Linked DNA regions of Lepisosteus oculatus. The protein of the gene in region 1 purifies or fractionates together with the protein of each later gene. This does not show direct contact. Links are inferred from orthologs where the notes say so. Each region holds a gene or a part of one and is shown on either strand. Other genes may lie near its edges.

Region 1 (6,928 bases):
TGTCCAGCCTGGGGAAGTAGAGGGCTTCGGGTTCAAATGGGATACATTTGTACAGTACAGTATGCACTGTGGAGAGGTGATGTCAAATATTTTTCATCAACAAAAACAAAACTAACATCCAAGACTACAGAATCAGAGAAACAAGTTAGCAGTTTAAAATGTAATTTGTTAATACCTTCAGTTTCTTTCACAAATCCGCTGTGTAATCTCCCTTCTGCTTTCTTTGCTTATTCCAGCAGTCAGGTGAGATTCCTCCCTAAGTGCACTGACAGACGCGGAGTTGATTGGCTGGAGTGACACCACAATGCCAATGAGAATGGACAGACTAACTTTCAAATAATATATTTAATATGTATCACAAAGTGATGCAATCTGATGCAGAGTTTTAATACTTAGATGAGTAAACATGACGGGTTCTGTGAAAAAGCCTTTCATTATTTAACTTTTTTTTTCTTCATTCCCTCTGGATGAAGAGCTTTTGTCCCATAAAATGTAAGTTAACACTAAACCTGATTTTCTAAAGGGGCAAAAACAATTTAGTCTACACTTTCTAATTAGAGTTTGCGTCTTTGAATCATTGGGTATCAATCATTTTCAAACATTGGTCATTCATCTTTAGGAGATTTTATGACATCAAAATTAATAAAAATCAGACAAAATCCACTTTTTATTTGAGCTCTTTTGGCTTCATGTTTAAGAATAAGGATGATAAAGAATAAAAAAGAGTGTAGTTTACATTGCCCATTGGATGTATAGTCTTTACCTTTGTGAAATAATGTATGCTGAGCTAGAACATCATCAGGAGAATGACTTGAGGCAATGATACATGACTGAACAGACATGACATGAGTACTGGAAATTCAGTTTACGTTTGTCCTCAACAGGCTTGATCAACAGAGGAGTTACAGTCACATGCAAATAGCGTGTGGACACCACACGAAGCAGTACAAAACTGCAACATTTTTAGAGCCAGGTTGCAGATGCTGTTTTGTGGAATTGTGTTGAGATTCGACAAGTTCACTGATCGCTTGTTCACTGTTCTCTGAACCCTAGATGCCAGGTCACCCCACAAACGTTCAGTGGGGCTACTGTATGGTGAGTAGGGTATCCATGATGCAGCAGGTTGCAGATGCTGTCTTCTGTGATTGTGTCCCATTTCTCTTATACCACCTGGACAAGCACGTGTCCCTTCTCTTGTTTCTGAGCCCTAGTTACCACTCACTATCCCAATTCATCTGAACAAACATTCAATGGGACTCAAGTCTATCAGGTAGGGCATCCATGCCATCACTGTCTCGTTCTTATTTGCACACTAGTAGCATGAGAAGGTGCTTCACCTGGTTACAATCTTGTCATGTCAGGGTGAGCCCACAAGCAGGGCAGCAAGTAAGGAACTTGATCACCACAGCACCGTGCATACACACTGCCAACAATCACTACAAGTGGAGCTCTGTAGTGAACAGTCCTCCTCAGACCATGACAGCTGGACCCCCTGATCCAGATTGTGTTTAGTGGCCTCGAAGATCACGGCTTACTGTTGACAGACTGTGCTTCTCTGTGGTGTTTTGCCAGGTTATAAATGCCCGATAGCAAACACCTCAGACGCTAAGGAATAAGCAAAAACTATGTCACAGTCAATTGTGAACAATCAAAGTAACACCAAAACATTTCGGAAATATCAAACACCCATATGCTTTATGTTTCTAAAAAAAACATAAGTTGATTTCTTTTGGTGCGATTTTTCAGATGGTAGGGTGAGAGGATTGATTCACTGCCAAAGACCCATGTGCCAAATTTTCAAGATTAACACAATTCACATTTTTAAGCTTGAAAAAAAAAAATGAATTCATCTCTTCTGAATTCAGACAGCTAAAGGAAAACGTACAAGTTAAAACACAGTTCTTATGAACTAAGAAATTCAGAAATTCAATTTTGCACTCATTCTAGAACACAAATCCTGGCCACACCCAGGAAGGGGGCAAAAAGTCAATATTCCATATGATAAAACATTTAGAAGCCCTAAACAGAGACTATAAAACCTGAAAATCTATTTTTAAAGTAAACAGAAAGACGTTTAACAGCTCTAAATACTAATTAGCTTATATGTTTCATGTTCACTCCCATATTGCTCTGGTAAGTCTGTTTGGAGCTTTCACTGAATCATGAATGGCAAAGTCAAATCTCTGAATATTTACAATAACAATTCAGAAAGATCAACATACATATGCACACAGACATAAATGTATCATTCATGAAGCACAAGGAGCTGAGTATGCAAACCCCAACACTAACAAGAAGAGCAGTTTCCTAGACATCATGGCTGGTTGATAATTGCCCCTTTTCAGGCTGGTGACCCAAAAAGCAGCAGACAATTATCAAACAACCCCGCTACAAATGGACAGCTTGTTTCATTTCGTCTCTCCCTCTGACAAAAGACTCACTCCTTTCTCTCAATGAGTAGCAGCAGAGAGGCGGCAGACCACTAGAAATCTCAAAGCATCCATTAAGAGCGCTCACCGGTTCAAAGCAAACCTACAGTTGCCAGGACAGCCAGTAAATCACCTGATCCCATTACAAAATCAATTACTGCAGTGCATTTCCATTGCTACGCTGCCTGATGATGGCAAAATGATATTGGATAGTTACTGCAAGGTCAGGCATTAACCGATCATGTATACGTCCTCCCCGATTGCGACCTTATTTTAATATTCGCAGCACAATGGCGAAATGAACAAACTCGTGTCCGAAAACAGCACAACCCCAAAGTTGTTGTTTTTTTTAGCGGGACTCGCGCGATGAGAGCCCTTAGCAACAGTGGCGGACGCTGGCTTGCTGCGGCTTTACCTTGGGCTGTTTGGGACATCCGGTGGCCAGCCGCTGCAGGTGCTCTGAGGTGTGGCTGCAGGAGAGCAGGTCAGAGCAGCACGTGGAGCGGCCCAGCCTCTTCATCAAGGACGAGATAATGCTGCAGCCACAGCCGCACATTGACTTGCTCATCAGGGGCTGTGCTGCTCCAAGGAAAATAGTCAAAGGGATGCTCGCTGCCGAGGCTCCTGCTTCTATTTTTAGTTCTTTTCCTAATTTCTTTTCTTTCTCCTTTAAGCTGCCGATGCCCAGTTCCAAAGCTCGCTTCTCTGCCTCAGCTGCCCCACTTCTGGGAACGGCTCACATCCCCTGCTACAGTCGTCTGGCCCCCAGCCAGCATGCCACACAGCAAGCAAAACACCTGATGCTTCCCAGTGAGAACCTCTCCTTGCCGAGCAGCAGAATTATCCCCTGGGTGAAACTTGGAAGTTCTGAGATCCAAGGTGAGAGGCAGGTTTTGTTTTTCCCCCATAGGCAGGTACCGCTCTGTGGGTTCCCTGTGAGGCCCAGCACACCTCACCTTACTCCTGGCAATCTTCACTCAGCTGCTACTGTACTCCATCCATTCAACCTGTTTCTTCCCCCACACCCCCCCCTCCCCACACACTCCGACTTCCCTTCTTCCTTTCCCAGCACCCAGCCACACCCCTTCTCCTTCTACTCCTCCTCCAGGCTACAGATCCCTCTAAGCCCAGCCAGAGGAGCTACTGATGCTGCTGCCGTTTCCTCTCCTTCCTAGCTGCTGCTGTGTCTGCTGCTACTACATTCTTCTGATGCTGAAAAGCAATAAGGAGCCCCGGATAAATCCTCCGGCTCGCCAATCAAGCCTGCTGCCCTTTTCATGACACTAACGCTCCCAGGGACCCGTCAATCACCCAGCAGCCATAATGACATGCGAGGAAACCAAGCCACTTGACTCCCTCCTGGGCTTCGAAGTGGCAAGCATCAGATGGCTAAAAGCAAGCAGCAAACAAAGAGTTAAATCAAGGCTCCTCTCTGCCGCGGTTTGTCATTATTGCCCGCCACTCTGGCCAAGCGACTCAGCTTGCAGGTGACAAGACAGCAAATGCTACCCCCAATACCGAACTGCCTGCATAGCATCACATGTTCCTTTTAACAGAAAAAGGATTATGCAGCTCAATTTGTAGCCAAAGTAACAATGTCTGCTACTTACAGTAATAACAAGCGCATAACCTCACAACCCAAAGAAAAAGGAAACGGAGTGAACAAGAGCCAAGCTACCCGCAGATCTTAAGCAGAAGCAGATTACTTTAACCACTAAAGTGCTCCGAGCTGCTCCTCCTGCTCCGCATCCTGCTAATTCACCTCAGCAGCCTTGAAAGGCACGGGGCTCACCTTATCAGAGGTCTAACTTGACACTCCAGAGAAAGTCATTTCTTCCAAACTGCGATCTCATGCCCATTTCCATATATTTATACCGACATCAAGGTCACAAAAACAAATAAAGTGATAAAAAGACTTAAAGCACCGAACATAATGACTGGAAATACAGAGAAAATGAGCATCAGCAGGCACAGTAGCTGAAAAATAAGATCGTGGTTCAAGTTGTGGCACTTTGCCAGCGGTCTATAAATAGCAATGTACTCTCATTCAGCAAGGAGCCTGTTTAAAATAGTTTCATGGTAAAAGGACAGATCTAGATGCTGAAGCTAAAAAACACGAGGGCAGCTTTTCACAGGACAGGAGAGCTCACAGGTCTTTCTTTTATCTTTGAATTGAACAGTTGTTCCAACCAGGTAAGCAGTGTTACTACTGACTCCTACAAAGAGGACGTTCTCTCCACACTTGAGGTGTCTGTCTGTCTTTTCCGATTTCAATCTGTCAGAGTTCTTGGTGAAGTCCCAAGAGATTTACACAGCAGCCTACGCCACTCGCAGTAAACAGCAGCCGCAGATTGGGATTTGGACTATAAACAAGTAAACAGCACAGAAAGTCTCTTTCCCGTTTAAATCCAAGATGCTGTCTCGCAGGCTGCACCGAGTCTGACAGGATCGCGTGGAGACTTGAAGGGAGGTGACTTGCGCCAAGAACGATCGCCCCTCTCTGTCTCAATTCCTGCTGTCTTCATTCAGATCCTAGATCCAGCACACGCTTGGCTTTACTGCTAAAAGAGGCAAGACTATCGCTGAAAGCAAGAACTCTCAGAGTGATTTATTACCATAAAACAGAGTGTACAAAAGAAGCTGATGACAGCCTTGTTCAGACATTTAATGAAAAAAGGAAACCGTATATTAACCATTTGAGTGGACTGACAGAGAAATAAAGGTGCTTTAAAGAGATGCTATAGTCCATTTTTAAGAAATGTTTTGAAATTCCCATCAACAAATGTAAAACAGGGATTTGAGATAGGGATGCTGCCTTATGTTCCATCCAGTACTGACACAGGTTACTTAAATTAAAGGTACTGTAGCAGTACCTCGGACAGCTTCTAAAGGCCTGCCCATCTTATTTAAATTAGTACTTTGTGCATGAAAAACCGAATTATTTTTTATCACAGTATGAATTTTCTCTTCAAGATAATAAGGAATTTTAAGGGTTCCACTTAATCTTTTTTTCAAATCCTAAAGCATGAGGATCAGAATCTTTCCAATTTTTAAACTACTGTATAGTGCCAGTATGAGTGTGGTTTAGGCAATAATTACATGACGTGTATCAGTGATGAAATGCATATGTCCATATTACACAAATATGCTTGTACAGATCCCTACCAAACAACCATTTAAACCAACAGTAAACCAACAGTACAGTAAATAGGTTATGCCAGACCACACTGAGAACAAAACTGATCGTACTTGAATAAGGCTGTATCCAGTAATCACACATGCTCTTATTAAAGGATTAAGAGACCATTTGTATTGAAGCATTATAATAAAAGTGAATAAATGTGCTATGTTGCTCGGTGCATTTAAAACGACAGGGGTCTACACCCAGCAAAAAATGGTAACCAGTTTAAGGAATACCTCACAGACACCTTATCCATGATCAATTGGGCATGGGAAATAAAAATCACTGTAACTGAAAAATCCTTTTAAAAAACTGCCTAATTTTAATTTCAAAATTAGTTTAGAATGAACAAGGAATAATTAAAGATAACTGGGAAATGACTGGGACTCGACTGTTACCCCTTTTCACAAAAACATTTGATCACAGATCTGTGAACATATCACATTATTTCAAATCCCATCCATCTAAGAAGCAGCTGATTGAACAGCATTTCCTATTACTAATGTCTCCAAAGCACAAGAAAAAGCAAGCGGTCACTAGTTTAATACACAATGACCCTGAAAAGGTTACCAGTTTCAACCATAGCAGCCTTAAGAAACTGCTGTGTGAAACAGCAATGAATTCTGAACACACAGTTGTGTTCCCACACAGGTCAAAAGAAAGTACAACTTCTCATGCTGTCAACATATTCTGTTTAAACTAGAACACCACTCCAAATTAATCTGAGCACATCACCCATCCTTTAGCAGCTCAATTTTCCCCCCCAACTTTCCTATTCCACAGCCTCGAATGAGAAACAAGGTCAAATGGTCCCTTATTCATTATTTAGAAATATTGTTTTCCATGGTGTCAGCTCTCCAATACATTATCGATCAGCACAGGATGTGTGCTCAGAGCCCGCTGCAATCGCAGGATTTTAATAGCAGGCTGTCCTGCAAGAGTGAGGAATGCATTTCAGGTCTGTGGCGCGGAGAAGGCCGGGGAGACGGTATTAATACCGCCGCACAACAAAGCTACGAGCTCATCAATCACAGGCCGAGCGCGGCAAACAGGATGCCAGCCGAGGTGAGGAGAGGCGCGGACAGAAGGGCGACCTGCCCCCCGGTCACTCCTGCTTCTTCACAAACAGCTTGATTGATCCAAACCTCCACTGCAGCCGCATCGAATCAGTCTCCGAGGTTAGTCTGTGTTTTACCGAGACCACCGCTAGAAGAGAGTAGATCCGTGCAATAGGCTTACACAGAGAAAGGCACCTCTCAAGCTCGCTGACTCATCAGCAGGGTGCAATACCGCACCGGATCGCCCCACATGGCCAGTG
Region 2 (7,005 bases), on another chromosome or scaffold:
TTTAATGTAATCCCATCCTCCCTATTGCTTAAGACTAACACAGACATTTGGTGGCCTACCAATGATTCATAAAGACCACTGTAGCAGTAGTTTTACATTTAAAACTTTTAATGAAAACTACACACAGTAAGAGAATCAACACTTTCCAGGCGCCCAGGACCTCAATGTGCTATGAAGAGACACTCCTGGTCAAACAGCAATAATTTTCTACCAACGTGTTCGCACTGTTCTGCAGTAAGGTTTTGCTGCCTCATCCACACATCTTTTTTGAAACCATAAAACCTGCGAGGTTATTTTCACCAAGACAGCAAAAGTAACAACATGGCAAAATTGTACCTGGAAATAAAACCCCAAATTCTGGGCTCATTTAAAGTGAACGTTCACCAAAGCTAATCCAAAGGCTTGGCGTTCAAGCACAAACACGCAACAAAACAACAATTCGATAAAAGGGACATTTGTGTGACTAAATGACGCCCATCTTTCCCCTAATGTTTATCCTTCCGTTTCGTTTATAGATTCCCAAATACGGAAGTGATATCCTACTCTGACTAGAATTAGTGTGCATCGTTAATACAACCCTAAAACTGGAAACACAATCCGTAGTTAAAAACAATGGCTTCGAGCACCACCGACGCCTTTTAATTTACATATCGGGGCATGAGGACAAATCCTACAAGAGCGTATTTCTCACACACAAGTCCACGAATTTCAAAACTGGTTCAGTCGCACCATACGTGCCAGTATTGGTGCATAGCGAAACTAAACGTTAACCGCATTGGTTACAGCCTGCGCGGGGGAAAAAAAAACTGAAGTTGCCCTGCCTCATGAATAATTGGGTCTACACTTAAGGCACCCTCACCCCGAAGAATATAATATCATGGCACACGAAAGAGGCCCAGACCTTCCAGACCTCCTGAGCACGACTCAACAGACGAGTGAAACAGACTGGGGGGGGGGGGGGGTTTGCAAAAACTGTGCACCTGCATCGTGCATTCTTTTAGAGTGAGGAAAAAATGGGAACCTCCAAAAACGGACCCCCCGGTAGCCTTTGTTCGGTGTCCAATGTGCTACAGGTTGATGATGCGATAGGTGCCGAGAGCAGGGGGTGGCACGCGCACAGCAAACGCAGCACACAAGCAAGCCGTCCCCGTCGGGGTTTTTTTTTTTGTAAATAAAACGCAAAATACCGTGGGTGAAAACGACGTAAAAAGTATAAAAATAAACGGAGAGAAACCGAACTCGCCGCCCAATGTCTCTCAACAGGCTTGATATATTCGATAATTTAGCTCCCCTGCCTCTATTTCTCTCTCACTTTTTTCTCCTCCCCGTCCCGCCATCTTGGGCCGATTCAAGCAGCCATTACTAACTATGTTTAAAAACAGAACCAACAACTTCGTCGCAAACCCCCTCTCCCCCCCTCGTAAGACAGCATCCCTTCCACACGAACACGGTCAACAAGTTTTTACTTATTTACTGTCAAGCAAACCGCGACGACAGGCACGGCTGGGTGGCGGGTACAGCTAACTGCACGACACGGCCATGTAAATAACATCCAGGGAACGCAACTGCTGGAAAGCACCAAATAACCGCAACAATTTCTGCTTTTAGCTTGAGCTAAAGTCATGGGGGGGGGGGCGGTGAAAGGATTTAAAATAAAGATCCTAATTCCCCTCGTCGCGAATTCAGGTTCAATAACACAAATCCAACTGCAATCTAAACCGCACAGCCATCTAACAATCCGTAATATCGCCACAAACTGGACGTGGCTCCCAAATATGACTGACCCATTTTTACAGATCCTACATCAACATCCGAGGACCAGTTTGCCAAAACTGTCCCCCTCCCCAAAAAAAAAACAGGGAAACGGAACCGCGCAGCCTGGTGAGATGCACGAAGGTCCTGATGTAGTCACTACTTTTCCATGTTAAAAACACACACGCACAATAACACTAACAACGTCACCGCTGCAAACATTGCTACCCTGAAAAATTAAATGCCCCAAAATAAGAGTCCCACTCCCGATCTCCCACAGCTCTGCAAATGTGCAAGACTGGGGAGAGGGTGCAAAACACACCAATTTTTAATGCACGGGGGGCGCATCGCCATGAGGTCGACCTCTTTTCTCTTAAAGCGCTTTAAACTAGGTGCCTCCCAGGTACAAAATGCACTAACGGGAGTTTAAGGGGGGGAAGGCCTTCTCGGGTCCGATATTCTTCAAATACCTTTAATAGCAAGGCCTTCGTTCTGGCGCCATCTTCATGAAGCCTCTGAAATCCAAACAGCCGGCTGTAAAACAGAAAACAACACACAGGCGGCTCCGCGTTAACTCGGGAGGTTTTGCAAAAAATAACCAAGCGGGTTTAAATTCACTCGTTTTTTTGGGGGGGGAAAAGAAGACCACCACCACCGCGGAACGCCAGGAAGAAGAGAAAAAGCGGCATTTTCCCCGCACCGCGCCCTTTTCTGACCTGTCTATCCCGGCCAGGGTGTCCCTCTCCTGCGCTGTCAGCCTCGGAAAGTCCTCTTCGGTTTCAATCGCTTTTCCCGCCGCCATTTTCTTTTCCTCATCACCAGCAGTAGCGCCGAGACTTCGAGCAGCAGCGCAGGCGGCGGCGGCGAGCGACACTCCGCACGATTTCATGGGAACGCACCGGGGGGGCAGCCAACGAAAAACCTCCACCAAAACAAAACAGCGAAGCCAAAAAAAATCGGGAGAGGGAAAACCAACTTTTTTATTTCCAGGATTGAAAAAAAAAAATGCAAAAAAAAAAAAATAAACAGTAAATCCTTTTTACAGGAGAGCAAAAAAAAAAAAAAGAAACCCTCCAAAATGGTCTTCTTTTTTTTTTTACATTGTTTTATACAAAAAATATCTGTATGCAACCGAGAGCGTTGTTGTGCATGGAGTGCTATGAATGCGGGGTTTTTCAAAACGGGGTGTTATTTGGTTAATATCACAAACTTCCCCCCAAACCACCAGCTCAAAGTTGTTGTAATTGTGTCACACAGGCGAACCCACGCCGCCGCCGTCGGTACGCCCTCCCCTCTGCCTGCCGCAGCCAATGAGGAGCGCCCGCCGCGTCATGTGACCAGCCTTGTCTGTGGATGTCTTGGGGTTCCTTTCTCTGGAGCTCCGCGCCTCTCATACAAACTTACAAAACGGCAAGGATAGAAAAAACACACACAACTTCGCTCGTTCTGCCCTCTCGCATGGATTGGTGGGCAGTCCATTCAATAGGGTGACGTTTTACCTTTCCGATGCCACGATTGGATGAGAGTCCTGCCATTTTCCGTGTGGTATTGCAAAAGGCGGCCTTAATTATACAGCAGGTTAGTAGGTCCAGCTACATATACGAGTAATTGCGATGACTGTGCCCCATTTTTTGGTTACAGCGTAGATAGTTTGAGGTGCGCTGGTTGTGATGGTAAAAGGCGAAGTTATTTCTTGGTTCGTGATTTAGTAAAATGCTCGGTGTAAAAGGCGAAGTTATTTCTTGGTTATTGATTCAGTAAAATGCTCGGTTAGGGGGAAGTGCCAAACTGCGGTTGTGCAGTTAGAAACCCTTTTTTCACTATAACAAAAACGCCATTATCTTGTTTTACCCATTTTTGTTTGTGGGGGGGGGGGGGGGTCGTTCGTTTTCATGGTTCCCACACAGATTGCGATTTAAAATGAGTTTTTTTAAACTGAAGGTGCCGTCGATATTAGTAAAGCAATCTGTAATGTGTAACTTGGAAATTCATCCCTTTCTGAGCAAAAGGCAGCGTAAAACGTGAGTGTGTGAAACTCGTAAAGAAACAGTAAAGTGAAATATGGTGCTTTGTACGCACAGCTGCAAGCAAGAGGTGGCCGTTGTGTCCATCCTTGTTTGAGATCTTATTTTCAAAAGGCATAACTTTTGTTCTCAACAAAAGGATGGAGAGCATATGCTCTGGACACAAGTTTGGAGAAATGGGTCCTGTTTTCCTCTCAATACATTCCTTTTTTTTTCAACTGTGATCTGGTTTTGTTAATACCTGAAAAATAGTCTTATCTAAACCCCTTGGCGTTTTGTATACTTGTAGCAAATTGCCTCTAGGAGCTAGAATATTGTAGATGTCTTACTAAAGAATTTTAAAGATGGTTCATAATTACACTGTTTGAATCCCACACTTTTTCCTATGCACCCCAAGTATTCCATTAACTTTTCTTTGCTTCCTCATGTTATTTTGATGTAGCTGAAAAATAATTCACATAAACAACCAGATGCTTCTTTTGTGTAACTCCCTGCAGCTCCAAATCACCCATGTGGGATGTACATGCATAGTAAATGTTTGTGCTTCAATGTTACTTTTAAATTTCATAAAATCCAATCCATTTTTTTTAACCCTTGGTACTTCTCTTGCTGCTGTTTGTGTGTTTGCCACTTGTGTTTTTGTGTCATGCAACCATTAACTGTTTTGTTAGCTAATATCAAAATCCAAATTGCTTATACAAATCATAAAAAATAAATATCAGCCCCTTTCATAGGTTATGCATTTTAGGATGGATAAATGCATAAGAATTCTTGTTTGTTAAACCAGTTTCAATCTATGTGCGTTTTTTTACATTGAGTTTTTTTTAATAAAGCTTTTAATGAGCGACCTTGTCAAATACTTTCTGGTAGTCTAAATATGTCATTTTCTATAGTGGTTTCAATAGTGGATCAACTGTCCTTGTCGCTGGTAAATTAAATGAGGCTTTCATCTAAATCCATGTTGGCTGTCTCTTAAAATGCAAATGTTTTAAATAATTCTTTTAGTTCAGTTCCAGCTATCATTTCTGTAACATTGCCAGCAACATAAATAAGACTGATTGACTTATAGTTTCCTAGTTTAATTTTGTCCCGCTTTTTATGCATTGGTGTTACATTTGCAATTCTGAAATTGGTGCGATTCTTAATGACGTGAATTATACTGGTAAAAGGTCTATGAAACAATCCAGACACTTTTTCTAAAGAACTACTGGGAAAATAGTCAGGCCGAGAGGAAGTGAAAAATTGTAGTCATTCCGCTTGCAGCAATACCTCATTCTCAGTTATACTAAGATTAATCAATACTCTAGGAATTCTTTCTGCAGTATAGAAATTCTTTAACTTGTTTCCAATACTTTCAGAAAGCAGAACACTCTTCAACTTGCCTGTTATTATTTTTGACTTTATTGAGTGATTTTCTCTAAATAAACATTTGCCACCCTTTTTTTTAAGAAAAATAAAATTCACCTTGAGTATTTTTCTTGTGTACTAGAATCCAAATATTAAGAAGGAGAACTGCAGCAGTGTGAACATCTATGTAAAATCAATTGCGTGTGTTATAGGTCCATCAACATATAGATTAATTTTTTATATGGAAAATAGGTAGAGGTCTTTGCTGAGCTCTAAACAAATGGAAATCTTAATCACTTATTACATGTGAGAACAGCCGATTGTGTTAAAATGTATGTGTTAAAATGATACATATACCTCAACCAATGGTTCCCAGCCCTGGTTCTGGAGGAACGCTCTTCTGTATTATATTCCAGTTGAACTCGAAGTATCAGGGGCTGATTGGTGATTTATTGGATCTGCCTGCTTGTTTAGATTTTTATTTAGCTCAAGGGGTGCTGCTTCCAACACTTCCAGTACACAGAACATTGTTTCTTACTAAAGGTCTCTTCCTAGTCGACCAGTTGCTGATGAACGCCCACAGTGAGCGTTTCTTTCTTCTGCACTGATCCAGTTAGATCTAACTGATTTATGCCAGTTTTGTGTGAGAGGGATGTTTTGTAATTTAGAAAATGACACAGGGATGAAACCAATTATATATCCCATTTGACCCTTTAAGAGTTAAAATTAATAATGTAGATAATGCTACAGGTTGAAAACACACATCAATAAGCCTGTAATTAAGAACTTGGAAGGAATGAAAATCAGAAGAGACATTATTCTCCGTGGCTCAGAACCCCAAGTCCTAAAAGCTGCAACAGCTGGGGATTAAATCATGACCCACATCATGACAGGCAAGGAAAAGAACCACAGGCCTAAAATGGCCTAGTTTTGTCACCTGGGTGCACTTTTGCTTTGTTTCCTTCCCATCTCATCTCTCCTCTTGTCCCGTACCATAAGCCCAGAATCCCAGTCACAGTCGGCTAGTGACCTGAACAAGGTCCGTAATCGTCCATAATCATAATCCGTAATCGTCGAGTACATTTTACACTCAGGCAAGCACTTTCAGCCTTGCTTTCAAGGCGCCCAGGAAGTTAACCAAGCACTGCAGGTGTCCAGCAGATTGTGCAAACAAAACCACCTTGAAGGCTTTATGAGTTACATGGCCTCAGGGTCCAAGAACCATGGTTGTCGTTTCTATATATGAACAAAATGTCAGTGGTCCACAGCGCTGTTGTTGTGTTAATTATGCAAGCGGTAGTCCACATTCTCAGGGAGGTAGATAGGCCCAACAAGAAATCAAAATCAACTTTCAGGCCGGCTTTAAACACAGGCTCATTACCTCATTGTCAGCTGGATTGGATTCCCTGGCAATGGGGGGCTCTCACAAACATAAAAACCCCTCCCACCCCCGCCCCCAGGGTCGTATCGGTAACAGTAGACATAGCATGCAAAAAAATCAGTCCTTTTCCTTCTGTTGGAGTGCTGCTGTAAATGAAGGGCATGTTAGGAGATAGATTATATGATGCATGTAGGTAATTTAATACCTATGTGCACATAGTTTTCCATATTTCTTGATTTTTTTGCACATATCGAGAGCATGTATTACAGCATACCTGTCATTTAAATAGCTTAGGCAAAGTGTTCTTAGAGCTATGTGGGAGAATAGAATCCAGGTCCATATTCGCTTGTGATACACTGTCAAACAGTCGGACAAGCAACCTATAATGTCAAATATGATTTTTGTTACATGATTAACATCTAATCATATTCATGGATGTCCTTGTTAAGATTTTGTTGACAATAAGATCACTTTATTGGCCATATACAATTTATTGTATTA

What was found. The genes of interacting proteins can lie anywhere in the genome.
Region 2: the proteins of fbxw7 (region 1) and kdm6a purify together in Homo sapiens (affinity purification with mass spectrometry; 3 studies listed by BioGRID and IntAct, with this or other methods). This does not show direct contact. The link is inferred for Lepisosteus oculatus from reciprocal best matches to the Homo sapiens genes FBXW7 and KDM6A.

What each region holds. Positions count from the first base shown.
Region 1 is NC_090696.1:25,227,658-25,234,585, reverse strand, and holds the start of fbxw7 (F-box/WD repeat-containing protein 7), read right to left. Parts: upstream 3,013-6,928; 5' UTR 2,998-3,012; coding exon 2,845-2,997; intron 1-2,844. UniProt on the Homo sapiens protein: Substrate recognition component of a SCF (SKP1-CUL1-F-box protein) E3 ubiquitin-protein ligase complex which mediates the ubiquitination and subsequent proteasomal degradation of target proteins.
Region 2 is NC_090710.1:3,601,570-3,608,574, forward strand, and holds the start of kdm6a (lysine-specific demethylase 6A), read right to left. Parts: upstream 3,007-7,005; 5' UTR 2,642-3,006; coding exon 2,469-2,641; intron 2,287-2,468; coding exon 2,223-2,286; intron 1-2,222. UniProt on the Homo sapiens protein: Histone demethylase that specifically demethylates 'Lys-27' of histone H3, thereby playing a central role in histone code. Demethylates trimethylated and dimethylated but not monomethylated H3 'Lys-27'.